Caenorhabditis elegans: one gene and its partner. The protein of the gene in region 1 interacts with the protein of each later gene in a biochemical or structural test. Each region holds a gene or a part of one and is shown on either strand. Other genes may lie near its edges. The genes, in order: tni-3 and mup-2.

Region 1 (15,829 bases):
CCAAGTACACCATTTCGGTTCATATCTACGACAGACCAGCCCGGTCCACAGGTTCTCAACCAACTGGTCTTTCACAAACTCCTAAACATCTTGATTTTCCTGTAACTATTAAGTTTAAGACTCAAATTGGCTGTGTTTTTCCGTACCTGCTCGTTTCTAATTGAGAAAAGTGTTGATCCTTTATGATTAAAGCAAGCATGATCAGCATCTGTTCTATTCTGTGGGCCAGTGATCAATTTCCAACACTTATGACTGATATATGTAAACCCAGTAGCGCAAGAATAGTTCCCCGCAACTGAAAATACCATCGATAAAACAAGTATTTTCCGTACCTTATCCGACACCTAGAAATGAAGAGCTCACTACATTCCCACCTGGAGTTGGCAAAGTAGCGGACGTAGAAAAAGTAGAACTTGTGGCAATCCCTATAAAAGATATAAATTTTTATTCTGTTTTACTATTTTCTAAACCTGTTTCACATATTGATTTTCTTGCCAGAAAATAGGTTAATAGAACCGCAAAGATAACGATTATAGTCAAAAATACTCCTTTTTTTAATATGTTCCTCCAGTCATCGACAAGTTGAAGCTTTTTAAAAAACGTTTGGCTTTCAGGTTGATCACATTCTAGCTCTTCAAACAGGTGAGACGATGACATCACAAATTGTTACTTAATTAGTATAAAATAGTTGTACATTTTGTTAAAAAGGCAAAAGTGATAAGGGAAATACGAGAAAATAATTATCTTAAAAATGCCGTTTGGTCTTAATAATACACTTATAGTAGAATGAAATAACTGAAAATCATGATAAAACAATTCAGAAAGTTTGAAGATTTTTAGGAAACAAGCCAAAGTCGGGGTTTTTTTTTTGAGAAAGTTCGGGCTCAGAATGTGTTTGGAACATGAAACATTTTGAGCGCCGAATTTCGAACTGAGAAAACTTTAGGTCAATAAGTGTTAAATTACAAAATCGACTCATCGTCACCATATCAGTCTTATCAATTTCTCTTTATTTGCAACAATTTTAACTTTGTTTTACCCTTTTAATCAATAAATGCTAAGCGGTCTCCGAAAGGTTTTCAGATTTTCAAGGGCAACCGCAGTAGGTATGCAATTTCAAATCACATATCAGTTTTTATTTATCATTGAAAAACAACTACATTTTAAAAATGATACTACAAAAGTATGTACAGGCATTTCAGATGCTCCAGAAAACTACTCGATTCCAAGTGTGTCTGCCGAAGAAACCGAGCCAGACGAGACTCCAAATGAGAGAACAATCGTTGACGCTTATGATCCACCGAAATCAGAGTTTGAGCCAGGAGAGTTAGTTTCTCCATTATAAGCACATGTATCTGAAACAGTTTCAGTCGTCAACGTCATTTCGGGATACTTCACTATACAGTCAATAATCGATTCAAGAAAATGATGCTTATCGGAATTATTAACGTATTTCTAATTCTTGCCTTCTTCTTGTTCATGTTCTTTTTTGTGGTTCAACCGAATGTTCACGGAGGTTCGTGAAAATTTATGACGTGATAATTCCCGTTACTTGCAGGAGAGACTGCAGTGACAACCTTATCGCCTACCACTTCATCAGGTGAGTGTCTAATTCCTCCCAACACACTATCAAGCGAAATAATTATAATCCGATTAATCAGACCGTTTAACATAACATTTATTCAGTCACACTTTGATAAGACACGAACGATGAGGTTTTATTTGTGGGTGCAATGGAGTTTAAATTATTTTTTCGTGAAAGGCAGGGACCGTGCAGAATCATTGTTAGAATTGACTTTTTTAACTGCCTGTTTGACCTCTGAAAAATATTTTTCAATGTGTTGTAATTTATGAACTCTAAAAGTATAATTTTAATTTTTTACAGAAAAAGTCCCAATATGCACCAACAATTTTGTGCTGATCGATGAGAAATGTCTCCAGTTAAATACAACTCTGTACAGTAAACCAACCGCTGAAGCTACGTGTAATCGACTTGGCGCCACTCTCCTCACAATTCAGAGTTCAGAGGTGAGTGTGGTTTTAGGGCCGGAAATTGATGCACGCTGCCTGCCTTCAAGGCCGCCTATGCATGCCTTGTGCCTAGTACCATCAAGTAGGTTGTAGTTAGATATGTAGGCAGGCATAAAGCTGACACAAAATAATATTACCATAAAATAATTTTTGTTTCAGGAGAACCAAAAAATCCAATCTTTCCTCAGCATCCACCAAATCTCTCAAATATGGTTGGGGTTAATTTGCAATGGGAAAAGTGTCACATCTTGTCAGTGGGATAATGGCTCAAATGTCACCTACTATGATTTTGCACCCGGTTTCTCATATCTTACAGGATTTTTCAAGTTCAAGACATGAAAAATTTTCAGGATTCCCAAATGTGGACACCGGAATATGTGTTTCTTATAATATTACACACAATTCAATAGGTCAATGGGAAAGCCTAGTTTGTTATAAACAATTGCCGTTTGTTTGTGAGCTGCCTACAACTACGTCAGGTACGGCTCAAAGTTAGACGACAGAGCGGCCTTTAATTTTAAGCCGCATCTGAAACAGTTACTTCCGAATTCCAGACAACTGCACGAACAACTACAAGAATCACTGTTACATCCAGGTCGACCAATCCGCCACCATCCCGGATGCTCAGAGAATCTGCCAAGCTCAATGCTCCAATCTCCCATCTGTACATTCAGTGACCGAGAATCTCTACCTAACTTCAATTTACAAGTTCTCCGACACAAGTATAATTCTTGGCGGAATCGCTTCTACACCTAAATCGATCTGGTGGTTTGATGGCTCTCCAGTTAACTTTTTGAACTTTAAAACTTCTCAGCGAACTGTTGCCTCTTCTTGTATTGTACTTCATGTTGGTGATGGAGGAGACTGGGATACTGTAGATTGTTCCACTACTGTATCCACATTTTTGTGTAAACGGGCTACGGGTGTCAGTTGTAAATAAAATAATATTCAAATTTTACCAGTATTTCGAGTTTTAAAAAGAAAGAAAAAACATTCAAATTGTTCTACAAATATCAATTGGGCACTGGCGACTGTGTCTGCATTTCCGGACGGAATCTGTTTGAGAGAGACGGTATAAGCCACGAAGCATGTATGGAGGAGCCAGCTGGAGCCATCGGAAGGATACGTTGATTGTAGGCACGGATCCAAATAGTCGCGATCACCTTTCGGCCCTCATAGATTGGACATCCACCATGATTGCTGAGCATCTCCTGGAAAATTCAAAATAAGACTCTGACAGAAGTCAAATTGATCCGCAGCCAAGGCTTTTTTTGGCGGGATCCCCGCGTCTTCTACATTTTGGGAGCAAAGTTAGCAAGCTTACAGGTGGCTTTATCTATCCGCAAATAAACTTTTTCTGAGCCTACATCCGCAGCCGACATCGAGCGAGGACCACGGTGCCGCGCCGGCCTTCCAGCGACCACAACCACGCTGTTCCACGCTGCATGTCGCGTCTTTCATATAGTGCGACGCGGAACCCAAAAATTGTCCGGCGCTGGCTTTGTTTTACGGCAGGCGTAACGTCCTGAAACCGCGCCTGCCTCCCATGGAAGCCCTAGTTACCTTCTCTTCATCAGCCTGTGCGTTGAACCAGAAAAACGCGTCTCCAGCGTTGGCGCGAACTGTGGAACCAATACTTGGGAATACGGTGCCTGTAAAATACAGCTAGCTCAATGTCCTGCGAAAGACAGCACATACCTCCACCCTTCTCAGCAGGTTTCAGTACAAAAATGAGAGTTCCAATTCGGTTTCCCGTCTTGTTCATCCACCAGTCGTAGTCCTGTTTGCTACGGTAATCCAAATAGTCATAGTGCACTGCGTAATGACCACCGGGCAGGTAGGAGAGGGCCTGGAAAGTTGATTTTTGAAAAATTCCAACATTTTAGCGCTAAATTTTGAATTCAATTTTCAGATGGAGCAAAGTTTCAACCTTTCTGAAAGTATCTGAAATTTTCAAATATTCCAGAAACTTCTGGAATTTTTTGTAAACCATTACAAATTTTTTAAAAATTTTTAAAAGTGTTTTTTTTTTGGAACTTTTAGAAAAAATCAGGAAGTCTAAAACTGAGTACATCTGGATATTATTTTAGAAAATCATACCGAAAAATGTTCGGCAACGGTAAGGTTCAAGCCGGGAATCCTTTTCTGAGCCTGCATCTTTATTTCCACTGTAACATTCGAATCTTCCGGCGGAATAAAACTACCGTTGGCCCGTCGATGCGTCGTTTCTATCGATGTCCCGAAATCTGACGTTTTCTGAATCTCCAAATCACGTTGTTCGATGAAATTCAAGAAACTGGCGGTTTGGCGGGGGCTCATGAGATTACGGTAGATCACAAGTGTCGGAGCCCAACTGATAATTTCCATGTCGACCGGGAGCATGTTGTAGACGTAGGTGATGCAGATGGAATCTGGAATTTCAGAATAAATTTCACTGGAATTTTAAAGCCGCAGTACAAAATTATCCGCAACAAAACAACCTGTGCCCCTACAAAATTCTCCAAAGTATTTTGCAAGCTGTGTCACTCATACCCATCATTTTTATTATCTCTGAACTTTTGTTTCCTCCATTTCACTACGTCAGTTGTTGTGGTGGTTATACATATTTTATTGGCAAGTGCAGAGAGCAAAGCTGGCAGATTTCAGAAATAGTGGACTACTCAAAAGCCTGTTCCGGCCTGAAATTATTTCATGTAGCCCGGAAGAGGAGCTACTAGCCAAGTATCCTCTCCGTAAAGGTTGTCCAAAAGTTCCGGCAAAAATCTGAGCCCAGTGTGCTCATTGAGCAAAAACGTCCGTGAAAAAAAAAACTTGTCAACCCACATATCATGTTCCTTCTAGACATCAATCTTCTATGTTGATCAGGGACAACTATTTCGAAATTATTAGCTTTTTTCCTTGAAGAAACCCTTTTTTCTGTTCGATATCTATGCCTGATTAATGATATTTCGGAACAAAGCTCAGAAATTCTCGAAAAAAAATCAAAATGAGGAAGCTGCGGTGCTGATCGGAGCACATATGCTTCCGATTTCTTGTTGAGTGTTTGGCACAGAAAAAACAAGCATAGGAATCAAAAAATTTGCTTCAAGGAGCTTGAAATAATTGAAATTAATTCTGGAAACATTCAAATTTGCTCAGAAAATTGAAAAAAAACAGTTTTCAAATTAGTTGTAGTATTCTATGAAAATTAGCTCTCAAAATCCACCTTCAAACTGTACTCCAGTATTTTCCAAATTGCTCTAAGAAGCCTCGAAAAACAAAACTCAAAATGTTTACAACTAATTTCATTTTTATGAAATTGGAAAGCTCTGAGCCTTCGAAAATCAGTTTTCAAACGCGAAAAAAAATCCTGGCTCCTTCAAATTTGCTCTAAATCATTTGAAACTTAACTTCGAAAGTCCGAAATTTTCCTAACTTTTTTCAAAAAATGTTCAAAAAACCCAAAATTGACCTCCAGACTTCCCATTTTTCTCCCAATCATCAATCTTTTGCCACCTCAAAATTTGCGACAATTGATGTGGTGGCAACAACTGTTCTGATATCTCTCTTTTTTGCAAATTGATCCTCATTTTGATTGGCACCGGTGGTCTGATAAAAGGGATTCCCCCGGGGAATTCCTGCTAATTTCCGAATTCCCCTAGCACATTTTCTACCACAGAAAAAGAAAAGTAAGTAGTATTCCCAAAGCTTTCCCGTGAGAGCTCCGAGAGCTCTAGGCTCACACACACACATGTCGTTTCTATCTTGCGGCAAAAAGTGATGATGGGTTTTGAATTACCGCCGTTTTCACTAGTGCTTCTTGCCCGCCTCCGCCATTCTTTTTCGCCCTGTTTTATTACACTGTTCGCTTCTTCGTTTTGTTTCGTATGCAATATGTGCATCAGCAGTAGGAGCAAAAGTTATAGACGGGAGATAGAGAGAGAGTACAAGATGGAGGCGGAGAGCAGGGGAAAACAGGGAGGGAGGGGGTTCCGCAGGAAAAACATGTTTTAAACTTTGGTTTTAGTTTTCAGTCTTCTCCTCCTGATTCACTCATTCTGCCATTCGTTGTGATCAGATTACGTCATGCTTTTTGATTTTCCAGGTCTTACTTTTTTACCGTATATCTTGTCTAGCCTGATTAATATGCCATCGGCCGGGTTTTTTGCGGCTGCCATTATGAATTGTGGTTTTGTGAATATTTCGTAAAATTCAGTCTGCTGCAGCAAGCTTTAATAGAATTTTGGAAAACCCTGTGAGATGTCGGATGCATTGGAAACTGTTGGTCTTGTGAAAACCAATTCAATGTCGGCTGCAGATTTGTTTTTGTTTTTTACACTTTTTGCAAAACTTTCTTGCAGCCAACATGTCCTGGGTTAAACTAAATTGTATCAATGTCGGCGACAACATTTTACTTTTTAAAAACTATCGAAGCTGCTTGCAGCTGATTTCTCACGGGTTCCCAAAGTTCCGCTAAACCCAGTTATGTGTCGGCTGCTATAACGTATCATCTAAATATAAATTAATTTCCTTGCACCCGACATTTCCCGGGTTCACAATCTATTACGTCTTAAAATTTTGGCTGGAAAAAATTACAAAAACCTCTGTTTTATGGAAACTTGCGGCCGACATCTGCCGGGTTCAACAAAATGTCTCGATGCTTTAAATGTACAAAATACACCCGGTTAAGTGTCAGCTGCAGATATCTAAGCCTATACTGAAAATTAGTTTGCAGCCGACATTTCCCGGGTTTGCCGCCGCCGCCACCGGTCGGCTGCGTCGGCCTCTTTAGGTTACCGTAGTATCTTTCAGAACATTTTATGTTCTTTGTTCTAATTCTCAAATCCCATTTCTCTACTAACTTCTTCCATATGCTATTATTTTTCCTTCCTGCTCCGCACACATACTAATCAAGATTTATTGCTCAATTTCTCTTTCCCGCCCCGCTTGCCACTTCTCACAGATCAACTTTTCCAGGTCATTTTTCCCCGCCAAAATGCTGATTGAAGACGAGAACATTCGCTACGGCGGAGCTCAGGCTGATGTTGAGGACGTAAGAAGTTGCTCAATTTTCAGATTACTTAAAATTAATTTCAGGATGCCGCCCGCAAGGCTCAAGAGCGTGAGCTCAAGAAAGCCGAAGTCCGTAAGCGTATGGAGGAGGCAGCAAAGAAGGGATCCAAGAAGAAGGGTTTCTTGACTCCAGAAAGAAAGAAGAAGCTTAGAGTGAGTAAAGCCTTGGCTGTAACTTTTTAGATATCAGAATAATTCCAGAAACTTCTCATGATGAAAGCCGCCGAGGACTTGAAGCAACAGCAAATGCTCAAGGAGCAAGAACGTCAGAAGACCCTTCAGCAGCGTACTATCCCACTTCCAGACGTCGACTCGATCAATGATCAGGGACAACTCTTGAAGATCTATGAGGATATGTTCGCCAGAGTTTGTGCTCTTGAGGAGGAGAAGTTCGATATCAACTTCGGAGTATCCCAGACTGAGGCAGAGATCAATCAGTTGACTATTCAAGTTAATGACTTGAGAGGAAAGTTTGTGAAGCCAACATTGAAGAAGGTGTCCAAGTACGACAACAAGTTCAAGTCATCCGGAGAAGTTAAGGTGAGAGATTGGAAATAATGAATTTTGTAGAAACTTTTCGAAGCCTCGTTAGGTGTCGGCTGCTGCAAGACAATTTTTGAAATTTTTTGAACAGACCAGTTAGGTGTCGGCTGCAAACTATAAATGTGGGCATCTAACTATTGCGTTTGCAAAACAGATGCAGCCGACATCTTTGGGGATCACCCAAAGCTCGCTAATTCCCGTGAACTGTCGGTTGCAACAACTTTTCGTGCCAAATGCAGAAAACACCAAAAATGCGTTAAAATTGTGTAAAAAAATGTTAAAATGCTCAACTCAAACACGGCAAACCACTATTTAATTTCGGAAAGAAAAATTTGACTGAAAATTTCCATTGAAAAATATTCCGATATCTTTTTAAAAACATTTTAGTTTTTTTAAAGTTCTCAAATTGTTCCAATTGATTTCCACCAAATAACAATAAATTTCAGGAAAAATCAAACTTCCGCAACAACCTGAAAGTGGTCAAAAAGGAGACGGACCTCGACGAAATCATGGCAAAGAAGAAGGGAACCGCCGACGGAAAACCAGAATGGTCCAAGAAAGAGAAGAAGGAAGAAGAGGCTGCACCAGTGGAACTAGCTGCTCCAGTCGAGCCAGAGGCCGAGCCAGAACCAGAAGCCGCCGAGCCAGCAGCTGAAGAGCCAGAAGCCGAAGAGGAAGAGGAAGAAGAGGAGGAAGAGGAATAAGAAGTGGTGATCTTTTTGTAGATTTTTATGTGCTTGAGCTTATTGATTTTTTATTGTCAAAAAAAAAATTAAATATGATAATCGCATTTTTCATTGCTACTTATGAAAGTTAATGGAGAGAAATTGAAATAAATCTTTTGAAAACTGATAAACCCCCAAATTTTGCTAAGTAGCCTTGCTGCAAGCGCGCTCTGCGGACAAAAAAACGGTATATACCAAATATAAAATTATCAACGGAGCGCGATTACACACAGACACTCACCATTTTTCTGCCATTTCGTGTCCTTTGTCTCATCATCACAAAGCTCCAACTGATCCGTGCTCCACCATTTTTCACCCAAAAAATTCGTGAATTGCTCGTTGAAATCGTCCTGGGCGAGCAGCCAAATATGTCTGCATTGGCTGTAAAGCCACGTGGCACACAGTAGAGAAACAAGACCCAGAATTTGACGGAAAGTGACAGAAATCATGATGGTTTTCTAAAAATAAATATGATTAAGTTGCGGAAAAAGCGGAAAGTGGGAAAGTTTATCGAAACAAAAAAAAACAACAGAAAAGAAAACATACCGGCGACGGCAGAAAATGCAACTTCAGTTTTATCCCGATTTCCACGTACTGAGCACATTGTGCAAAATGAACTTTTGGAGAATAAATGGAGCAAAGGGTCGAAAAGGTTCAATGAACTTTTTCACGCTGAAATATATTTGGGATTTTAATTTATTAGAAACGTTAAAAAATATATTAATTCTTAAATTGACAGTTTTAAATTTGAAAGCTATATTTTCAAAGGATCTGTAAATTTTTTTCAAATAGGATTTTGTATTTTTGGATATATTTCTGTTTTAAAAATGTTGCTTCTTTTTTTTCAAAAAAAAAAGTTAAATTTTTGAAATGTTGTCGGAAATTTTTAAGAAACATTGGATCAGAAAAATTCCAAAAAATTCAGTTTTCTTAAAATAACGGGCAACAAATTTTCAAAAACACAAAAACTAGGCATCCGCGCCTTCACGCCTGCTTACCTACCTGCCCTACATCTCTTTGTCTGCATTTTGGAGTGAAGTTAAAACAATGGCATTTTCCATATTACAAATTTGATTACTGAAAGCTCAACAAATAGATTTCAAAATGTTCAGGTGAATTCTGTCTTTAGGCAGGCAGGCGTGTAAAAAACTTACCTTTGAGAACATTTGTCCTCGATTTGTGATGTTTCAAAAAAAGTAGACTGAAAAAACGCGTTGTTGTCTAACTTCCGCCATTTATTATTAACATTCTAGTGTGAAATTATCAACTCTGGCATATACGGGGTGCTATAATTATGTTGTCAGAAGAATGGAAAAGCAATTATCATTGCCAAAACGGGCTCGGATATGGCATTTGCAAAAAAATGAATTCGCTAACAAGAGACTGAGTTCCGACTAGTTGTTGTATATCTTCCAAGTTATCATTTCATATTATTTAATTTTTAAAAAAAATTTTTTAACAACCTGGAATTTCAGTGAGTTTTTTTTCGAGTTGACCTGAAATTATCTATGGAGTTTCGTTAGATATCTGAAAACTTCAGTTCACGTTTACAGGTGAAATAACTACTCATAGTGCCAACCAATGCCAGGCGGTTTATTTTTGGAGTGTACACAATTTCAACTTTGAGCTCTAAACTTTCACGCATGGTCAATGATTTCAAGCAGCTGAAAATTTCGGTCAAAGTTTGAACCCTCCTCCTCCTTTCACTAGGTACATTTTGAGTAGTGTTACACAAATGATCAAATGGCGCCTGCCTATTGCAACCAAACCGGCTACCTACACACTGCCGATTTTCAACGATTGGTGCTCCATGTCATCAGCTTTATCTCGATTCCGATCCACGTGTTCGGAGTTTTCTGTGTATTTTTCAAAACGCCGATATCTATGCAATCCGTGAAGTGGAGTATGATGAATGTTCACTTGTTCAGTTGTCTTTTGGATTTGGGATTGAGTTTTTTGACGACACCATTTGTATTTTTTCCGTTAATGGCTGGATATCCGCTGGGTTTTTTGGAGTATCTAGGTGTGGAAACAGAGCCTCAAGTCTACATGATCATTTTTATGGGAGCATGTAAGTTTGTCCTGAACTCTGTAGTTTTACTTGAGCACGGTATATGTAGGCTTGGCCTGGTAGCTGGGGTTAGAGTGCCGGCCCACTGTGATAACTTGACCTTTTCAACAGGCCTATTGATGTCACCCAAATTTTGTTCCCTACATTAAAATGCCATTAAAAAATGATGTTGGTCGCAATTAGCCCAAACTTTATTAACTTCTGATCTAAATTTGGTTCTGTGAAAATTGCAAGCCGAAATGAAAGTCAGATTCTTACAGTTTATGATATCAGCTTTCAAATAACATAAATTTCAAGCCAATCGGCCAACATAATTTCACAGGGTTATCTAGTAAGGCTAGTAAGGAAAGCATGCTAAAAACCAAAGGACCTTAAAAACTTAAACGAATAGTAAAACACCTAATAACCATCCTAAAAATTTCCAGACTTACTGGTGGCCATTAGTATTGTCTTTGAGAACCGCCTGTTTGTCCTCGTAATGACCAACAAGAACCTTCATCGCTACGCCACTCCGATCTACCTTATCCATTATATAATACCACTAATAGTTATTCCAACTGTCATCAAAATCCCCGATCAGGAAGAGGGTAAGAAGAACTTCATCAATTTATTTGAATGTGTACCTCCGTATGTTGAACTGAAGAATGTATTCTATTTGATCCTTGTCAAGAAATTCTTTCTTATAAGTTGCGGAATTTTCATAATGGTTTTGTTCTTGGAAGTTTGGTTCTTGGCATATATGACTGATCGGAAGCTAAAGCAGCAGATGACAAAGACAATGTCCCAGAAGACTGTAGACTTGCATCGCAAGTTTCAAAGAGCATTCATCTTGCAGGTGAGTCTATAAAATGTAAATGGCTCTATATCCATATTCAGCTCCTCATCCCATTCCTGATCGTCTTCGTTCCACTTGGCTACATCGGGTTCACCGCGATCTTTGACTATCACAATCAGTTTTTCAATAACTTGACATTAATTATAATATCATCTCATGGATTCTTCTCAACGATTGCAATGGTAGCTCTTCATGCTCCCTACCGGGAATATACATTGAAGTTATTTCCATTTTTTAAACGTCTGAGCTCCTCGCCTACAAACCTGACTGCACCGCAGAGTGTAATGGTGACGAATATGTGACATTTTGGGATAAATTATGAGTTTCCAGAATTTCTTTGCTTTGAATTATGTTGTTCTGTATAAAATGAAAAAAATCTTTTTTTAAAGAAATCGACATCAATAATAAAGCGTATTAAATTTGATAGATTTTTCAAAATCTCAATTTCTAAGTAGTTTTTGGATCAAAAATAAGAGAAGCGTCATTCTGCGAGCCCACAGGTAGGGCTTCCATGTAGGCCCCAAAACGCCTGCTTCGCGCCACAAGTTGCGCCTTTTTATAGTGCGGCGAGGAACCTGAAAAGTGTCGGCCGCAGCGAAAAAATCACCTTTTGCACTATGTTATGTAGACACCAAGCCTTTGATTCCCCGACAGAATGCAGACTTGAGGCGATGAGGCAGGCGTCAGGCCCTGAAACCGCGCCTGCCTCTCATTCATGTCCTACCTGCGAACATAAATTGAGTCCTGGAGTCATGGGGTCCAAGGGTCCAGGGGCAAAATGGTATCTGTTTTTTTTACGTAGATTATTTTTCGGCCAAATTCACAAGCTATACAATAATCTCTGAACCCAGACTCGTGGGCTTTCACTTCTCTTCTATAAAGTTCAAATACATAAGTGCCTATTGCACCCAGACAGCACCGCGCGCTGCATTTCTGATCGCTTACTCAGGAAAAACCAAAAAACCTCAAAACAAGCAGTTATGTATAGCATGCCTATAATTATTGCCGCGAGCCAATTTTCAAGTTCTCCAAAGACTTTTGAGACAACTTTTCTAAACAAGGTTCTTTGATTATTTGATTTTGCTCACTTTGTTTCAATTGTAATGGTATACGACTACTGCAGCATTACTGACTACCTTTACACTCCGGACTTTTTTGAGACAGTACTCCATGTGATCAGTTATATCTCAATTCCTGTTCATTGCTACGGAGGCTTCTGTGTATTTGCAAAGACACCGATATCTATGCAATCTGTGAAATGGAGTATGATGAATTTACACTTGTTCAGTTGTCTTTTTGATTTGGGAGTTAGTTTGTTCACGATTCCATATATATTATTCCCAGTACTCGCTGGATATCCATTGGGGCTTATGCAGAAGTTTGGAGTACCGATTGAAATTCAAGTGTACGTAGTGTTATTTGTTGGAGCATGTAAGTGGTTTTATTGGCAATTTGATTATAGAAAGTTGCATTTTTCAAATTTTTCTTGTTAGTTGAAGTTCAGGCGAAAGTAATAAGGAATTTAGTTTTAAAAGTTTATGCTCCCTAATGAAGTTTATGTGAATTGTAATAGGACCTTTCAAGTAGGCTACGACAGAAATTGTTAGCTGCAAAAAACTCTAAGAACTAGAAAAAAGTGGTTCTAAAACTTTTTATGTCAGGCCTTTTTTTTGAAAATTTCTCTGAAATTTTGGAAAAGCAGTAGTGTTTCAATTTATACCCTGGACGTTAAAAACTATAATCTTGTGTTTTCTGGCCAATTTTTGCCAAATATTTTGCCAAATCCAAATTTTTTTCAACTTTCTTCAAACCTTGGTCGGGTGACTTCTAAGCTATTTGGCACAGAAAATACCGAAAATTGTTCTAGTGCTCAAGTTTAACCCGTTTCAGTCATGTTGGTCTCCATCACCATCGTCTTCGAAAACCGCCTATTCGTCCTTGTCCTCTCCGACAAAACCCTTCAACGGTTCCGTACTCCAATCTACATTCTCCATTATATCCTTCCAATAATCTTCCTCCCGGCACTGGTCAACATTCCCGACCAGAAAGCCGGGTACAGAAATTTGATGGACCATTTTGAATGTGTTCCACCGTATGTAGATATTAAGAAAGTTTTCTATCTTGCAATTACTAAGAGATATTTTCTGGGTGGATGTGCTTCATTTATAGTTGCAATGTTTGTTGAGGTATGGTTCTTTGCATTTATAACGAATCGGATGTTGAAGAAGCAAATGACAAAGACAATGTCACAGAAGACTGTGGACTTGCATAGGAAGTTTCAGAGAGCCTTCATTCTGCAGGTGAGCCTATAAAAGCCTTCAAGATTTGAGTTAGAAGCTTCATATCTATAGATTCAGCTCCTCATCCCATTCATCATCGTCTTCTTACCAATCTGTTATGTCGGGTTTTCTTGTTTCGCCGAGTCAGCGTTCCACAATCAGGCATTAAACAACATCACAATAATTATAATATCATCTCATGGATTCTTCTCAACAATTGCCATGATAGCTCTTCATACACCATACCGGGAGTATACACAACAGTTATTCCCGTTTTGTAAACGTCTGGACTTTTCGTCGTCCAATCAAACTGCACCGCAAAGTGTGATGGTCACTAATATGTGACGAGTTTATCTCGTGTTGGCTCCCTTTTTTTCTAAATCTTATTTTTATTTCATGTGTGCAATAAAATTTTTGGTCTTATAGAAAATCTTTTGGTTTCAAAAAAGACGTTAAAAATTTGTTAATTTTATGCAAAAATTTTTACAGTTTCCAGAAATTTCCAGACGTTTATTTGTTTGAAAACGTTTTATATTGGCTCTCTATATTGTTATGAAACATGTAAGAAAACAAGTTTCAAAGCCATTTTCAAAATGGGAAAATATTCTGAAAATATCACTTCGACTTTTTTCCAGTTCAAAGTGCTCCTATGCGGTTCAATTTTTTGAAGGGTCCTATTTAAAAGTTCCTTTTCCAAAAAAAAAAGGGTTTATCTAAAAAAAAAATTAACTCGAACACTTTCTTCCTGTTGAGTGCTAATAGTTCTCATTTCTAAGATCATACGAACCTTGCAAAGGAAATGGGAATAATTATTGGTCAAGTTGTAGTAACCAGAGAAGTGGAGTATGATATTATCGCCACTAACATTCATGCGCTAGTCTATGATTATTTCCACAGACAGAAAAGCAATTTTTAAGCTGAAACGAGCTTTTTGAACAAGAAAAAGAAGACAATTTTCTCCGAAAATGACAAGAATTACTCATAAACAAAAAACTGGCTTTCTGGTCATTTGATATTTTTATTTTTCTTCAAAAAATTATTATTCAGTGCAATGTCGTATGCCTATTGCAATCGTACTGACTATATTCATACAGCAGATTTTCAACAAACTGTTCTTCATGCAATTAGTGTTATATCAGTTCCAGTTTATGTCTATGGTTTTTACTGTGTTCTACTGAAAACTCCGCCAACTATGCAATCGGTTAAATGGAGTATGATGAATGTTCACGTGTTCAGTTGTATATTCGATTTATCACTTAGCTTCTTCACGACCCCATATGTATTGTTCCCGGTGCTCGCCGGGTATCCATTAGGAGTTTTGAAGGAAATTGGTGTTTCGGTTGAAGCTCAAGTTTATTTTGTGGTTCTTGTTGGGGCATGTAAGTTTTTTAAAAAGTTTTCTGCAAGAAAATCTATAATTTTTAAATTTTGGTGTATTTTAAATGATAGAAAATAACCTGAAATAATTAAATATAACGGTTAAAAAATTTTCTGAAAATTTTATAATTTATTAAGGTTTTTTTTTCAATTTTGCGAAGGATAACTTCAAATTATTAATTTGTCATGTTTGTTTAAAATTGATAACTTAAAAGAAATTCAGTAAAGTTGCCAAATTTAGCCAAAAAATTCGATAATTCCTTTTGTTTAATTTTTAAAGATTTTTTTAAAGATTTTTTTTTTGAAAAATTGTATGAAAACTTCAAAACGATGGGTAAAATTAAACGTGGTATAGACAAACATTTTTATTGTTTTATTGGACACAAAATTGCCTGGAAACGCCGAATTTCTAAATGAAACTTGCTGAAAAAATTTCAAAATAAAGTTATGGCGGCTCAAAAAGTGGCCTAAAAATAGTTAAAATATGAGATTTAACCGACTTGTCAATGCCACTGTGCCTGGAAATCAACTTTTTTGTAATTTTTTTTAATCAGCCATTTAACATTCGTGTTTTCTGACGGCTCTTGCTATGTGCATATCTGCTCAAAAGCCGCGATGTTTTTACCGATCTTGTAGCTTAAAATTAATTGATATTTTTAAAATACTCCTGAAAGAGCTGAGCTGTGCAACCTTTTAATACAAAACTAGCTCGCTGCTGTGCATTTTCTCAACTAACTTTAATCTATTTTTCTAATCTAAAAATATGCTTTATAGGTAGTTAACTAACGTGCATACGTGCATAATCTTACTAGCTAGAAATCAAAAGGATATGTGATCATGGTATTTATAATTTAATTGGAGGGTTTATCAGTTTTTGATCAAATAAATTTATAATTGAAATTATTATAGAATTTGA
Region 2 (16,170 bases), on another chromosome or scaffold:
GAACCCTGATGGCGAAACTCTTTTTGAAAACATTTACTCCTGGAACAAGGCTGCTCACATCCTGATTATTGACTCTCCAAGAGGAGTCGGATTCTCATATCAAGATAAGAACGTGAACAACGATACAACATGGGATGACGATAAGACCGCTTTGGACACCTACACCGCTTTGGAAGATTTCTTCGTTACCTATCCACCACACAGAAACAGCGAGCTCTATATTACTGGAGAATCATATGGTGGAGTATACGTTCCAACTCTTACTAGACTTTTGATTCAAAAGATCCAGGCTGGACAATCTAACATTCAGCTTCGTGGTATGGGCATTGGAAATGGAATGGTCAGTGCTGTGAACGATGTCAGAACGCTTCCAGATTTCCTTTACTTCCACGGAATTTACGATAAACCGTAGGATTTTCATGATCACCGTCTAGATTTACTGTTTTATTTTCAGAATGTGGGAGAAGCTTCGTGCTTGCTGCCCATCAGCTGATTCTTCTGGTGACTGCAATTATGACTACTACATTACAATTGATTCTGGAGTCAATGTAATTGCCAAGCAGTTCCCTAACAACCAGACACTTCAAGACTGCGCGAACCTTGTTGAAAACTTGTCGTATGACAGAAACTGGAAGGCATTGTACGATCAGTATAATTTGTATCAAGATTGCTATGTTACACCAAGAGACCAGGCAAATCCATTTGCGATGAAAGAGAAATTCTCCAGGCTCGACGTGGACCACAAGTTGAAGACTTCTATTCCACAGGCTATTACCAAGGTTTGTACTACAATAGAAAGTTTCAACGAAAAACCAATATGATTTCAGACTGCCCCACAAGATCCATTGTCGACTGATGCTACTGGGGGATACTCGTGCTGGAGTTTAGGAGCTATCAACAACTATTTAAGTTTGTCTCACGTCCGTGATGCACTCCATATTCCGGATTCAGTTCCAAGATGGGGATTCTGCAAGTGAGTTTGTAATTCTTGATTTTCAATGCTAGCTATTTTTCAGCAAAATTAACTACGCTAATCTCTACAACGACACAACTCAAGTATTCACCGACATTCTTAACAGCGGTTATAATCTCAAGTAAAATGGTGAAAAACAACATTTTATTGAATAAATTTTTTGCAGGGTTTTAATCTATAACGGAGATGTAGACTCTGTGTGCTCAATGTTCGAAGCCGAGTCAATGATCAACAACTTCGCCGCTGCTCAAACGTTTGTTTCGAACCAGCCAAGAGGATCGTGGATGTACGGAGGACAAATTGGTGGATACGTTCAAAAATTCCAAAAGAACAACATGACTATTGACCTTTTGACTGTCAAGGGAGCCGGACACATGTCACCAACTGATCGTCCAGGACCAGTTCTTCAAATGATGAACAACTTTGTCCATGGGCAAGGAAACTATAACACATCAATTGCTGTTAGTATGGTGCGCCAGCCACTTCTTGCCCAATTCCTTGTAAGTTTTCTGGGATCATTACTTGAATTAGAATAATTTTAAAAATTTGCTGATCAGTCTATTTTTAACCCACAACATAAAAGTCAAAGCGAATGTTTTGCAGGAACAAGGAATTGGACCAGTTGGAACAAGTGCTCCAGTTGCTTCAACCAGCACAACAAATACGCCAAGCCCAACCAATCAGTCACCAGTAACTCAAGCACCACCAGTAACTCTACCACCTCCTTCAGTAGCAACAGCAGGACCTACTGGGCCTATCTTAACCGTTGTGCCAGTTTCATCTGCTCCAACATCAGGTGCTGTCTCCTCAACAACAAATACGCCAAGCCCAACCAATCAGTCACCAGTAACTCTACCACCTCCTTCAGTAGCAACAGCAGGACCTACTGGGCCTATCTTAACCGTTGTGCCAGTTTCATCTGCTCCAACATCAGGTGCTGTCTCCTCAACTGCAACTGCTGCACCAGTAATTACTACCACTAAAACTTCTTCAGTTTTATCGGTCTCTTTCTCTATGTTTATCGTTTTGATTACCAAGTTTTTATTGTAAAATAATTGTTTCCTGTTGTAAAATACTATATGTGTTCAAAAAATAATCCGAATATTCAATACTTCCAGGTTCTAATGAAACATTTCAAAATTTAATGGGTATTTGTTTATTTAAACACAGATAAAAACCAATATTAACATCATGCACGAATACATTTCGTATTTTCTTATTTTTCTATTCTTCCATTTGTTTTTGATTAGCCCAAATTATACTGTCATGTTTATCCAAAAATTCGAGAACGTTTGGACACAAAAACGATAATTGCGGGTCAGAACAGGCACTTTAATTTCTGTGCAAAATGCAGCTTATTAGAAAACATATAAAGTGTGGCGTCGTCTCGAAAAGTTGACCGGCCACTCAAAATAAAGATGTAAGTTTTCTATTTAATTTTTCAAAACTTTAACCGCAATTATTTCCAGGCACATTAAAGCTATCGTTTACAACAAAACCAGAAAGTATGCAGGACATACTATTGATTTGAACCTTGGAGATAATGCTACAGTAGCTGAGGTAAGCTTTACACTTCGAGTGATAAAGTTGACAACCAAAAGTATTATACGTGTTTATTGTATGCCCCTATCAGAAAAGTAATTATTTTATTTTAATTAAAGCTTAGGAACAAATTATTTGCATGCCTACATATGTAGTAAAAATTCAAATCACTTTTAATTAGAATAGAGAAATGAATGAAAATTTGATTGATTTTGAAAATAAATACATATCATACTAAAGTATTTTTCAAATTCTAGAAAATCTATAAATTTTCATATCTTCTAAAACCTTCCTATGTAAACTGTTTCAGGCAAAATCTAAAATTGAAGAGATGACTACTGTTCCTTCACAAATTCAATGGATTGTCTTTGGGAGTAAGATTTTTACCTAAAAAATTACAAAAGTCTAATGTTTCTAGCAACTCACCTAGAGGACTCCAAGCCACTCCGTGAATACGGAATTCGTGATGGATATACTATTTACTCTACTCCAACTTATGTCGAGATTCAAGACATGCCAAATCTTTGATTTGTTTTTTTTCTTAATAAAGTTAAATTGATTTATTTATGATTTGAATCTATCTGTAAGAGCAAGTTAACTAGTAAAAGGTGATATTTGAATTCTGTTATGAGATGTTCTGAACATTGATCAAAAAACTATATCGTTTGAAACATTTGAAAAAATAGCCTTTTTTCAGCTAAAATCTTATATTTTGCCAGAAATATAAGATTTTAGCTATATATATATATTTTTTTTTTGTCTGGTGTTTTTTTTTGAGTATGACCCATTAATGCATATTTTTGTAACTTATTACGTGTTCTTTTCTTAATTAAGATGTATTTTCAGTAGACAAGTATGCAAATGTGATACTATTTTGTGGACCAATATACTGAAAATGTAACTAAATTAACGAAAAATGGGTAATAGATAACAAAAATATATATTAAAGGGCGGTAGTCAGTTTAAAATCAAGTTCCGTGTTTTACAACACTGACGGCATTTTTTCCAAAACTTTAAACATCCATACTTTTTTTAACAGAAGGTCTAAGAAAGTTGGTAGTTTGGGATTATTTTGGTTCTGAAAAACAACGCCTCAGGTTTGGGTGAAAAAAAGAAACGTATATACATACAATTATGAAAAAAGTTTTTTGTTACAAGTCAAAATTGAAACATGAAATCTTGGATTTCTATCTCTTATTCATGCGTGTCTTGAATTGATTACCCCTCTTCGCCTCAACTTTGTTGGCTCCTTGCTTTTGACCATTGAGCATTGTGTCAATTTTGGCAACTCTCGGACCTCTGCAGCCAGAAAAATACATTTTCTCGCCCTCCCCTCTTTCCGTTGTCTTCTCTTCAATTCGACGATGACAAAGAAAGAAATCTTTTCATTAGGTTTGGCTTTGCGAGAAGTGTTGGAATGAAGATGAGTTGAGCAGGAGACACTTCTCGTTTTCTTATTCATTAACGCTTTCATATGCCATGAAATCGATTCTGATGCTTTTTTTCGTGTAACATCTCATTATGAGCGGAAATGTTTGTTGAAGGTGCACAACTTGTTGATATCACGTTTCAAAAATTGTTTGCTTTTTGGTTTTCTGAAAAACAATTGTAGAATACCCCCAATTCTTACTTTTTTCTTTAACACTAAACACGCAAAGTTGTTAACACTATACTAATTAATGAATTCATGCCCAACCAATGACTTACGCACATTATTTTGATATTCACCGTTTGAAAGTTGAGTTTAAATTACAGTTTTATTAAGTTGGCAAGAAAGTCCTGTCCTATTTTTCAATCATTTATTTCTCGAAGCAAACTAAAACAAGAAATCAGTTATATGTTCCATCATGATCAACAACGTCCTGCCAACGTTGAGGTAACTTGTGGATCCCCTGCCTGTAGAATCCAGCGGGCAGGGACTCGAAGTATTGCTTGATATCAGATTTGAAATTTTCTCTTGTTTTGAAAGCTATACCTTGAAGGGCAAGAGTCAGATCGGAGAAAAGCCAATAATCACTTAGAGCAATGTCAGGAAAATTCGGTGGTAGAGGGAGAATCACCCATCCATATTTTGTCAGATCCTGCACCACTTGTTTTAAAACATGTGGTTGAGAGTTTTTTTTTTTTTTAATTTTTTTTCAATCGTTAAGGTCTCAACAAAACACTATTCAGTCAACGTTTTGGTAAATGTCCGAAATTTGGAAAAATTGTTAGAATTTCCCCTTCTGGCGTCAGACCATTTTTGATATTTGCAAGTTAATTTTTCGTTCAATTACTTTAAAAGGAATAGTGTGCCATCTAAATTGCAAATGACTCTCCAGACTTTTTCACGTGTTTCCAACAAAAATATTGAAAAGACAACAAAAAAAATTAAAAATGTTGGGTACTTTTAATTGAAATTTAAAACTGCTGTGAAATATTTTAAAGACATTTATATTAAATTGTTTTTGGGCTCAAAATATTTTTAAGGAAAAAAAAATTAAAACAAATGTCTTTGAAAATATTTTCTTAACTAATTTTCATTAACAAAACTTTTTATTCAGACATATTCAGACGCGATGCTGTTGTGAAATTTTTGATGATTCTTTCGAAAAAAAAATCAAACGAATTATATTTGAGTTAAATTCTATCAGCAAATGTTCCAACGGGCAGTTCCATCACTCAGCTATATCTGTCAACGCGTTTTCTCTTTCTCCTTTTCTTCAAAATGTCAATACTCAAGTGGCGTCCAGCACTCTTTTTGCTATACTACATATGCTTTGCTACTATAGCAACCAATTGCTTTTTGACTTCTTGAGAGGGAAACGGAGAAGAGGATTACCTCTCTTCATCAGTTTGTTTTTTTTTCCTTTTTCTTGAGTAGCTGATTCATCAAAAAATTTTCGGTGGTTGAAACAGAAAAGCACTTTCAAACCAAACAATGAAAACCGGCAGAAGAGTTGCCTTGATATTTGTTTTAATGAAAAAGCACTGTTTTTATATTACTTTTTACAACTGGACAGAGCCTGAGACAAAGATGAGCAAATTGCGAGGAAAAGATTTTGAAATAAGATTGTGAGCAAGAAGTTACACAAACTGCTTGGTCTTTCACTCAAGTCTTTGTTTCACCTGCTTTCTCATTTTGTTAAATTTCACCTGAAGTGTTCCGTTGTATTTTGATCTGCAAAAGAACTGTTTTGTTCTGAAAGAAACTGTTATAAGAAAAACACCTGTTGTGTTTTGAGATTTCATTAATTCGCAAAAATCAAAAATTTTCATTGATTTTTGGATGGTTCTTAATTAAAATTTTTTATTCAATTTGCGATTTGGAATCTAAATTTTTTAAATGCATAGTTTTCCTGGTATATTTTGTAAATTTTTTTAGTTTTGCGAGAATTTGAATCCACAAATTTTGAATCAACAAAGTTGATAATTTTCCGAGTTGTTTTGTTGATATTACTGTTAAAATTTCAAAATTTCAAGAAAAAATTTATAACAATTTTTGGCAAATATTTTTGAAACAACTTTTTATTAATTTATTTATTTTTCCAAAAATTCGATTTTCCCGTTTTACACAGAACATTTTCGAAACTGTTGTACACAAAACAATATACCATCTTAAATTAACTGGACGTCTCATTATTTCAACATATTGACTTCTGGCGTCCTTGCAACCCGAATCAATGCGTCTCCCGCGCATCTATTGTTGATTCATTGAAGTTATGCAGAAACTGGTGGATGAGATAGCGCTATTCAGATGTAGATCGCAGACGCTTCTTACTGTCTCTCCTCTATCTCGGGTTCTCGTTTTCCCACATTTCCACGACGGCAATACGATCTAACAAGAAGAGGAAATGGGAGAGAAATGACAGGTAGAGACTGCTGTATAGCTATCCTTGTTTCTAAATATCTTAGGAATTGGTAGTCAGACAACATTTTTTGTTGTACATAAGGTATTTGAAAATGAAAACAGTTTTATTGAATAAAAAATTCGAGCAAGTGCAAAAAAAAACCAATTCAAAACTCATTCATACATTTCTAAACAAGTCGAAAAGCAAGTAGATATCCCATCTTCAAACTTGAATTATTTTCACTTTTCCCTCTATTCTCAAGTCAAAATGCAAATGTTTCCCAAGAGATTTCTCTGTTGGCCTCAATCCTCATGTTTTCTGTGCTATTTTATATATAATTTGAAATTTTTTTTTTTTGAAAGCGCAAACTTTACTTATTAAAATTTCTGTATTTCAGCTTTTCACAATGCCGGGAAGTATATCAAGTACTCCGGAGAGTCCAGATATAATGCGTTTTGTAGTATCAGTTGGTTGTCTCGTTTTTTCACTTATGCTCACGTCATTTGGAATTGTTAATAATGCTTGGATTGTTTTGGACAGACCAAACGAAAACGATGAGTTTCAGGTAAGTAATTTTGTTAAATTTCAATTGAGAAGAATAGGGTGTTTAAGTTGTTATACTTGAATAATTAAAAATATATTTCAGAGAGGAATTCGAGGACACGATTGTTACCGTAACAATGCACCAGGAAACGAGAACATCTTCTGCCTTCCATGGGATTTTGAAGATAAAGCGGAAAAGTTTCCAGATCCGTTTACCAAAGTGTTGGCCGCTTCAACTGGTACGTTGTTTGAATTTTGCCAAAACTCCCGATTGCCGAAAATATGAAAAATTTCCAAATTTCTCTATACGAAAAAGTTCACGTTTCAAGCTCAATGTGTCTCAAATCTCAGTTTTCTGAATCTGTTTTCTGGAACACGACTGAGATGACAAATTGTGCCAACATTTACTTTTTTGTTTTCAAAATGTAGTCACGGATGAAAATTGGCAATTTTGGCATCATCAAAAACTGTCAAAACAACCGAAAATTAACATTTTCAACAATTGCTCAAATTTGAGTCGGCGAAAGTTTTTAGAAACCAGAAATTGTGGAAATCTGTTTTTTTGATTGATTTAAAATAATTTATCATAATAATTAAACATTAAGTTAAGTTAAATAAATAAATCAATCAATAATTAGGCATGTAGGTCGTCCCAATTGTTTTTTGGCCTGCATTGCAGATCTCGATAAGAATTATCTGAAAATAAGGAAACGATAAACAAACGTTTTAAGTTTTTTAACTTTAGTTGAAAGTGTTTCGATGTGGCTGTAATAAAAAATAAAGGTATTATTTAAAAATATATTATAAGTTTATTTTTCTCCACTAAATATTTATTTTTCAGTTGTTCGAGTGACATTCCACATTGCTCTGGTCATATTGGCGTTTCAAATTTTCTACCTCGCATATACCATTGGACACTGTTGTAGCCAGTCATTTACAGAATTGACAAAAAAGCGAAAACTCGCATTTTTCCATGCAATGCTCGTTCCAGGTGCGGTTCCAAAACGTGACTACAAACTATTAATGCTTATTTTTGCAGTTGGCCTTTGGATTATTCTCCTACTACTTGTACTTTACGAAACTTACACTGATAATCTTCTCCCATTGTCTCTGAGAAAAGAAGATGTAAGATTTTTACGATGATTCAAAGAAAGTATAAAGTTACTTCATATATTCCAATCGAAGCAGAAGGGTTTCTAGCCTTTAATTCAATAAGCTGTTTGTTCAGCGAAGCGTACTATGAAAATTATTTTTAAGTGTTTTGGTATTGCAACGAGTGTTCTTTGCAAATTTAATAGTCTTTTTTCGAAAGGGTGTATTAGAATCATAAGCTGAAGTTATCTGACGCAAATATGATAAAAATAAATCGTTATGATTTTTACGATTACTTTTTTTAAAAACTTCATACTGAGGAAAATAAAGTTATAATATATTTTGAAGTACTTTATTAAATTACCAAAATCTCTTGTTTTCATCAATAATTTTTCACCCACAAAAAATGTCTACGAAAAAATGAACATTGAAAAAAACCAAAACGTGATGTAAGGTCTGAAAGGTTACCAGCCCACCAATAATTGGAGAATTCTAGGTCATTATAAGCAAATATATAAGTTGTATTTAGCTGAATTCTTCCACTACTCAATAACCTACATACATTTTTAAGACAGAACGCATAAATTATTTTGATACTTCAAATTTATCAAAACGTTATTGATATCAGAAAATTATAGAAATTTCCTAGCTTTTTACTAAAAAAAAAAGTGTAGACGAAATTTGAAAGTTTGAGTTTAAAGAAACATATTTTGGTAAAACGAAGCAAAAAACATATTTTAACTGTTTCCTAGCTAATTAATTCTTGTTATTCAAAACGATTTTATTTTCAGTACAAATACAAAATCGGATCCGGCTTTTGGTTTTTCTTCCTCGGTGGCCTACTTCCATTTATTGGAGCACTCTACTTCTTGTTTAGAGAGCAGATGGATGCATCGAAAACTCGTCTTAGAGGACTTATCAATCGACATCAGCCAATACCATCAAATGTGAACGAGAGTGACCGTGACGGGGTAGAACTGGTCAGGACAAATCATGGAGGAAGGGTGTAGCTTGAGTCTTGCTCAGCAAAATATTGTCAATGTTTCTGAAGCTTTATGTATTTTTACCGATGATTTTATCTAACAAGGAAAGGTTTTTATTTTCCCGTCCCGACAGACATCAAAACGAGAGATGTGCATTCTGCACTCTGAACTCCAACCGTTTTGATCTGAAATTTTTTTCTCTACTTTCCAGCCAGTTTTGGCAGACTTTCGACATTTAAGGATGTTTATGGGTAAATTATCATTTCGGAAATTTTAGTTTTTGAGTGGTACTGAGCCGTTTTCGATTTGATGTCTGAGGGTTGAAAACCTTTCCTTGTAGTTCTACATTACACTAACAATGCTCAAATTTTGTTCAGTCCCGCCGAATTCCAGATCTCAATTTGTTTCTAAATGTATTTTCAGAAAAAATAAAAACATTTTCAAATGATGACGCAATACATATTTATATCTAGAACGGGATCTTCGAGGACTGGAAAATACGTCGTTTTTAGTGTCTCAATCACGCTGCCAGTGATTCCCAAGTGGCCCTCGCAAGCTCGTTTACATACTGATGGGAGCTAAGAAAAGATGCGGAAGAAACACAAAGAAATTCAGAGTATTGTTCTACCATCAATCATGTTTGAGGCATGAAGCGCTACTTTTCGGTGGAAGTTTATCGGTATTTGTTAAAAGAGTGGATAAAAACACGTCACTTTAATTCACTTCATTTTTAAATAAACACAAAAAAATCAAAATAGAGCGGTGAACCGCGAACAAGGACATAATTGATGGCGGCAGACGAATGCGCGACAGCAGAAGCACACCTTGCGATCCTCCTCCAAGTCTATAGTCTCCTCAGGATCAACTTCTGCTCGGTCAATCATTGCGATAAATTTACTGCATACTCCTGAAAGTTAAACAATATTTATAAATGCTGAAATTAATGTGTTAAATATATGTTGTTGGTACTTTAAACTACTTTTACTTCCTACATATTTCAATTTCAACATCACTCTTTTCACTTGTCAAGTCAAAGTAACTAACTAACTCCCACACACACACATACTTTAAATTGAAATATTGCAAGTACAACATGCAGCATGAGAAAAAAGTATCGTAAAACAAAGTATGAAACATTTTCAAACTATGAAAAACGTACCTGCAAAAAGGCAAGCAATCAGAAGAAGTGTGATGAATTTAGGTGACATAGTAAATCTTGTCAAGTAAATACCAAACAAATTGGGTGCAAAAAGAACTTAATAGAAGTCAAGAGGGACAAGTCAAAGTGACGAAAAAGGCGTGTGGCTCCCACTCGAGTTCACAGCTACCCACAGATACCAATTTTAGAACTAGGCCCCGCCTCTCTCCTAAGAAATGGGGTTGAGTTGAAATGCATGGCGTCACTTTTGGGTCTAAATGTGGTGCAGTAAAGTATTAAATGTAGTGTTTATGAAAATAACAATTTTACATAGAAAAGCTGAAGTAACCTGGAAACTTTGAGCAAAATAAAAAATATTTACACCCTTTAAAATGACTCGACTAAAGTTTAAGATTATATCTTCGTAAACTTGGGAATCTATAAAAAGAAAAACTAAATAAAACGATTATTGATAACCTGAGTAATATTTAAAACTGGTTAAAAAACGTCGAAAGTCACTGAAACCCTCTGAATAAATCAGATTTTTTAATTGATTTTGATTCCAACCAGTTGCCAAAAATACTTCCAGAAACATCTCTGAAACGTGTTTTATAGAATAATAGGAAAACGCGCTAAAACACGGTAGCTGCTTGTGATATACACTCATATTTTCAAGACTTAATTTTAGCCATAATTTTTTGAAACACCAATTCTCATTCCTAAAGTCTAGCGAATGACAGCTTTTTAGCAACAAATAATCTAAAAAATTGCTAATCAATAGATCTAATATCTTAAAAAATAGTTCAAAATGATTTTCACAGAGTGAAACTTAGATTTTTAACTACAGAATTACAAATAATTCTAAAAGTTTTCGGTGGCATTAAGCGTAGAATAGCGCGATTGTGGAAAATTGATAAAAATCTATAGTGCCAAAATGGCCAAATAAAAATTGTTTCAAATTTCATGGTCTACCTATGTTTTAAATAATAATATTCAAACATTTTATTCGCTCGAACATGCGACTGTGCTATTTTTTCTCAAAAAGTGATAAAAACTTAGTAATTTTCACTTTTTGTGTGTCAATTTTTTGAATATGTGCAAAGAGTTTTTGAAACTTTTTACTATGATATTTGATAGTTTTGGTACTATAAGAGTGGTAGTTCAGAAAAATTACCCCACTGCCCCTACTCCACCATAGACTAATTTGCTAGTTAGAAACCAAAAATACAATGTTTCAAAAAATATGTTATAAAATACAAGAAAAATACAAGGTGTCAAAAACATACATTTTCTGAATAAGGGTAATTTTTTGACATTTTCGAAAATGTAATCTATATCTTTGATCTCATATGTTAATATCAAATTAATTAGACTAAAGTTTTGAAATTGATGATTAATTACTACATTTATTTTGTATTTCACAAAGATGTTCGTATTTCTTAGAATAACACTATTTTTTTGCAATAATTTAATTAGTGTGGACTGTTGTCACCACATTGAACACACTTTTCGTAATTTTTTTGCCTTGTTTATTATTATGTTCTTTGAAATTAATGTTTTATTTATTATTTAGAATCAATTTTTCAAATTCCCTTAATTGGATCCCCGCAACTGAACCAGACGGCCAATTGACACTGGCTTACAAGAATTTGAATGAAAACGTCTCGAAGATCATCAGCTGCATTCAAATGAAAAGAAAGAATATTTGTATTATTGTTTTGCGTTTTTACAATTGTGCCACCCAAATATTATTCGTATGCTCGCCCCGCTTGTCTTATTGCAGGGGCCACTGTGAGTGGATTTTTGGTGGAAACGAGCTTGTTGGAAAAAGATGATAGCCGATTGGCAAGGTGCCTCGGTAAATTGGAAACTATTACACAAATATCATTGATTTCTAAACATTGAATTTTGAAATTTAATATTTGTAGAAATATTAAAATGATTTGTTTACTTTAAATGGATCAATTTTAAAGAGCACTACGTTTTCATTTGCGCGTTAAAATATTTAAATAAAAGTGATGATTCATTGAAAATTCGTAATTATAAAATAAGTTTACCGTATTTTACCTAAATTTTAACAAAACTTTTTGAACCACATAAATATTTAACGCGTTTTTATTATTTTAAAGCTGACCAATTAGAATTAGTGTGCAGTGGAAGATACAAGAATAATAGGAAAATCACAGTAATTTCTAAAACATATTAACTACTTGTTAGAAATTTTTATCAATTGACCAGTATAAACTATGTTGTTTTTTTCAACTTGTCCAAACTCTTCATCATCATCTGTCTCTTGTTGGTCCCTTGTCTGTGTCAGCGTAGGAGGAAGAGATAGTGAAGTGCACATCTTGGTGATCGAGAGAGAAGCAGAGAAACCCGTTTCTCGAATCAATGTTGGTGATTCAAAAATATATTGAGCCTTCGGATCGAAACATGATGCCCTATTTCTACGATAGCACATCACAGAAGTCTGCGTATTCTGAGGAAACGCAGACTGCCCGCGGGAAGCCCCAGGCAGAGAGAAAGACGAGAGCCACACGAGGAGGGCACGGCTGCTCACTCTGCGTAGGTGTAAGGTTTACAGCACAGATTGTGTCCGTATGTTATACTTTTCTTTTCCCTGAGAGCTCCCGCTCCCGCCAGCCCCTCCCACTTATCTGCCAACGACGGCCTCCCGGAGCAAGCACTTTCATATCTCTTCATTGTCGATTTCAACATCCCACCGGCACATACTCAAATTTCCTTCTTCTTCTGTGTCATCACTTCTTATCAATATGTTTTGAGATTTTGAATTTTGAGAATTTAACTTTCATATAATTACAGAACCTAAACCTAACTAATCATGTCCGACGAGGAGGAGGTATAGTAAGTTATATACCTATCATTTTTCTAGACATTCTAATTTTTAATTTTTTAGCTCTGATGAGGAGGTCGAGGAGGAGGAGGTCGAGGAGACCGAAGAGGCCCCAGCTGAGGCTGAAGAGCCGTAAGTTTAAGCTTTGAATTCGTGATTTTTTGTATAACACTGAAATTGTAGAGAGGAGACCACCGAGGAAGTAGTCGCTCCACCAGAGGTCAAGGAGCGTCGTGCTCCAGTCCAAGAGGAGAAGCCACCAGCGGAGATGACTGAGGCTGAGATTGCCATGTTGGTGAGTATAACTTCTTGGGAGACCTTCCGTTTCATTCATAAAATTGTTAACCAAATTCATATCTAGGCCGCCAAGAAGCGTCACGAGGAAGAGGAAGCCGCTAAACTTCTCGATTACGAGCAGCGCCGTGTTCTTGAGAAGGAGCAAATCGAACAAGAGCTTCGTGAACTCAAGGAGAAGCAAGAGAAGCGCCGAGCTGAGCGTGAAGAGGACGAGCGTCAGTTCGCTGAACGTAGACGTCAAGATGACGAGCGCCGTCGCAAGGAAGAAGACGAACGCAAGGCTAAGGCTGATGCCGAGAAGATCCGCAAGAACGAGGAGAAGGTCCGTCGTCAACAAATGATGGCTGGAGCTTTCAACGGAAGAGTTGAAGCCGGAGCTGGACGCAACTTCACTGTCGCCTCCAAGGGAGACCAAGCTGCTCAATTCGGAAACTTGGCTCAGGTATTTTTATTGTATCATTTTTAAATCGAATACTAATTAAGAAACTTTCAGGCTAAGGGAGGAAAGGATGTCATGAGCAAGGAACAGATGGAGGATGCCAAGAGAAACTTCTTGGCCGCCGTCTGCCGTGTACAAGACGTCTCTGGACTTCTTCCAAACGATTTGAAGGAGAGAATCAGAGGCCTTCATGCTCGTATCGTCAAGCTCGAGGCTGAGAAGTACGACTTGGAGAAGAGACGTGAACGTCAAGACTATGACGTAAGTTTAAACTATTCAATGAGACTTATTTGATATTGTGTGTGACATTCAACCAAATTTCAATTACTTCAGATGAAAGAGTTACACGAGCGTCAACGTCAAGCCGCCCGTAACAAGGCTCTCAAGAAGGGACTTGACCCAGAGGAGGCTGCTTCCTCTGTCCATCCACCAAAGATCACCACCGCTTCTAAGTTCGACCGTCAAACCGACAGAAGATCTTACGGAGACCGTCGGTACTTGTTCGAGAACCCAGAAGAGGAGAAGCAGGCTTCCCTCGTCCGCGGAACCGGACGACCACCAGCAGAGTGGGGACGCAAGCAAAACGAAGAACTCGAGCAGATCCGCAAAAACTTGGAGCCACCAAAGTACGTTGAGCAGGTCAAGGTTGAGGGAGCCAGAGCACCAGTCGAGCCAGTCCCACTCTTCGTTCCAACTGATGACTTCGAGCCACAACAAGTCACCGAGGATCCAAATGTTGGAGAAGAGGTCGTTGTCGAATAAATTTCCTGTTTTTTACCTTTTTTCATTTCACAATTTTTTGATTATCAAATTTATTAAAATAAACCCAATCCCAACCAAAAAAAATCCATTTTCTAATATTCCAATCAAAACTTTTTGCATTTGTTTCCAATTTATTAACCAATTCTCCAATTCTTCAAGTACTCTGTTTCTGCATACTCTCCGGTTTGTGCTTATCAGTAAAGTCTTTATCATAAAAATTGCATTCCCATTCGAATTGTAAGCATTTCATGAAACAGATTAAAACAAGAATTCGTGGAAAGACAAATTTTGATTATAATATTTATTATTAAAGTTTGAATAAGTCGAGTCAACGGAAAAAATATATATGAATAATATAAATTGAAAAAGGAAAGGACTAAGACGGAATTGGAAAAATATGAGAAATTGGGATCTAGCTAATGAGAAAAATAATCGTTTGAAAGCGGTGAGAAAAAATTTGCTTACAACAGCAAAGTTGATGAATTTCTGGGGCAAAGTTTTTTGTGGTAGGAGAGAAAATCGGCATGACACGCCACAGTTTGATGTGTGTAACAAACTAATCAGAGAGGCATTTGAAAACATTCTATGATAAAAATTATACACATTATCAAATTCAAAATCAAGTTATCAAATTCAAAAATAAAAGTTATTGGTTAGATTTGAATAAGCAAAACAGATACGAGACACACATCTGGGGCCAATTTTGAAAACGACCTGGGGAATTTTTAGAGTTTGGGGAGTAGTTATGGTTGGGAAGAACATCTGGAAAGTCTGACAAATAGGCCTCATAGTATTTGCTTATGTTTTTTTTTCGCAAAGTGAGAAATGAAAGCAACGGGGCGAGAACAGTGAGGAACTGGGTTTCAGTAGAGAATTACAACCGAGAAGCAACAAAGTTTACACCAGGAAATCGAGAAATGTACAATAAAATGACAACAGAAAAATAGAATTTTGAAGTGAGAAGAAATAATCAATTGGGATACAAAGACTAACGAGCATAAATTTTCAATAATTGGGATAGAAGTTGATGAGAAATTGGGAATTGTTTTGTTTTAAGAATGAAAAAAATTGAAAGCTTTCGTTTACAGATAGTGTATTCAAAAATGTACCTAGTGATGAAATTACTAATTTGGAGACACAGATATCACTCAGAATGGTCTTTCATTTGTGGATTTATAGTTTTTAGAATGTTGTGAAAAAGTACAAAAAATTCAAAAAAAAAATCGAAAAATATTCGGGTAAAACAGGTAAACAAGTTCATTACAACCAAAAGATTTTCATTTCAAAAAACAAACTCAAAAAATCGATTTTCAATGTGTAAACGTTAATCGTACAATGCGTTTCATCTGATTAGTACATTTTGAGGGAACTTAGAATTCGTCTTTGACATTTGAAATACTGAATTTTAGAAGTTTCACTTATGTTTTTTCAGCTAATATCATGACATTTCCTGACTACAAAACCAGGAAAATGGAAAAAAACAAAGAAAATGGGCTCACAAGAAGATTTTTAAACCTCTAAAATTATTTTTTAAATGTCTAAGCTGAATTTGAAGTTCCCCTAAAAAGTGTATTAGCCACATGAAAAATATTTTTGAGGTAACATTTTAAATACCGAAATTTAGGAGATTATTAAGATTTCTTGAAAAAAAAATGTTCACCCATGATTATAACAAATCATTTTTTAAGAATCAATTTCTTTTTTATTAATTTTACAT

The links.
Region 2: the proteins of tni-3 (region 1) and mup-2 interact in far-western blotting, tested with the Caenorhabditis elegans proteins (one study listed by BioGRID).

The regions. Positions count from the first base shown.
Region 1 is NC_003283.11:16,826,287-16,842,115, reverse strand, and holds tni-3 (Troponin I 3), read left to right. Parts: upstream 1-6,987; 5' UTR 6,988-7,006; coding exon 7,007-7,063; intron 7,064-7,107; coding exon 7,108-7,236; intron 7,237-7,284; coding exon 7,285-7,623; intron 7,624-8,072; coding exon 8,073-8,330; 3' UTR 8,331-8,478; downstream 8,479-15,829. Other genes in the region: clec-40 (C-type lectin domain-containing protein), read left to right, coding at 1,055-1,106, 1,203-1,326, 1,371-1,516, 1,559-1,600, 1,886-2,028, 2,191-2,329, 2,382-2,510, 2,586-2,971; phy-3 (Fe2OG dioxygenase domain-containing protein), read right to left, coding at 3,045-3,242, 3,595-3,683, 3,730-3,880, 4,132-4,442, 8,593-8,800; srh-215 (Serpentine Receptor, class H), read left to right, coding at 10,095-10,422, 10,848-11,257, 11,299-11,559; srh-214 (Serpentine Receptor, class H), read left to right, coding at 12,361-12,688, 13,148-13,557, 13,615-13,881; srh-216 (Serpentine Receptor, class H), read left to right, coding at 14,588-14,915. UniProt on the Caenorhabditis elegans protein: Troponin I is the inhibitory subunit of troponin, the thin filament regulatory complex which confers calcium-sensitivity to muscle actomyosin ATPase activity.
Region 2 is NC_003284.9:6,406,982-6,423,151, reverse strand, and holds mup-2 (Troponin T), read left to right. Parts: upstream 1-12,924; 5' UTR 12,925-12,943; coding exon 12,944-12,966; intron 12,967-13,018; coding exon 13,019-13,087; intron 13,088-13,138; coding exon 13,139-13,250; intron 13,251-13,316; coding exon 13,317-13,694; intron 13,695-13,745; coding exon 13,746-13,952; intron 13,953-14,024; coding exon 14,025-14,453; 3' UTR 14,454-14,681; downstream 14,682-16,170. Other genes in the region: ctsa-2 (Carboxypeptidase), read left to right, coding at 1-408, 455-779, 828-973, 1,017-1,094, 1,140-1,473, 1,577-2,023; K10C2.12 (Ubiquitin-like domain-containing protein), read left to right, coding at 2,392-2,393, 2,443-2,533, 2,826-2,889, 2,934-3,043; T22E5.6 (uncharacterized protein), read left to right, coding at 6,752-6,910, 6,992-7,127, 7,730-7,879, 7,928-8,013, 8,772-8,990; nssp-78 (Accessory protein 7b), read right to left, coding at 9,713-9,870, 10,123-10,171. UniProt on the Caenorhabditis elegans protein: Troponin T is the tropomyosin-binding subunit of troponin, the thin filament regulatory complex which confers calcium-sensitivity to muscle actomyosin ATPase activity.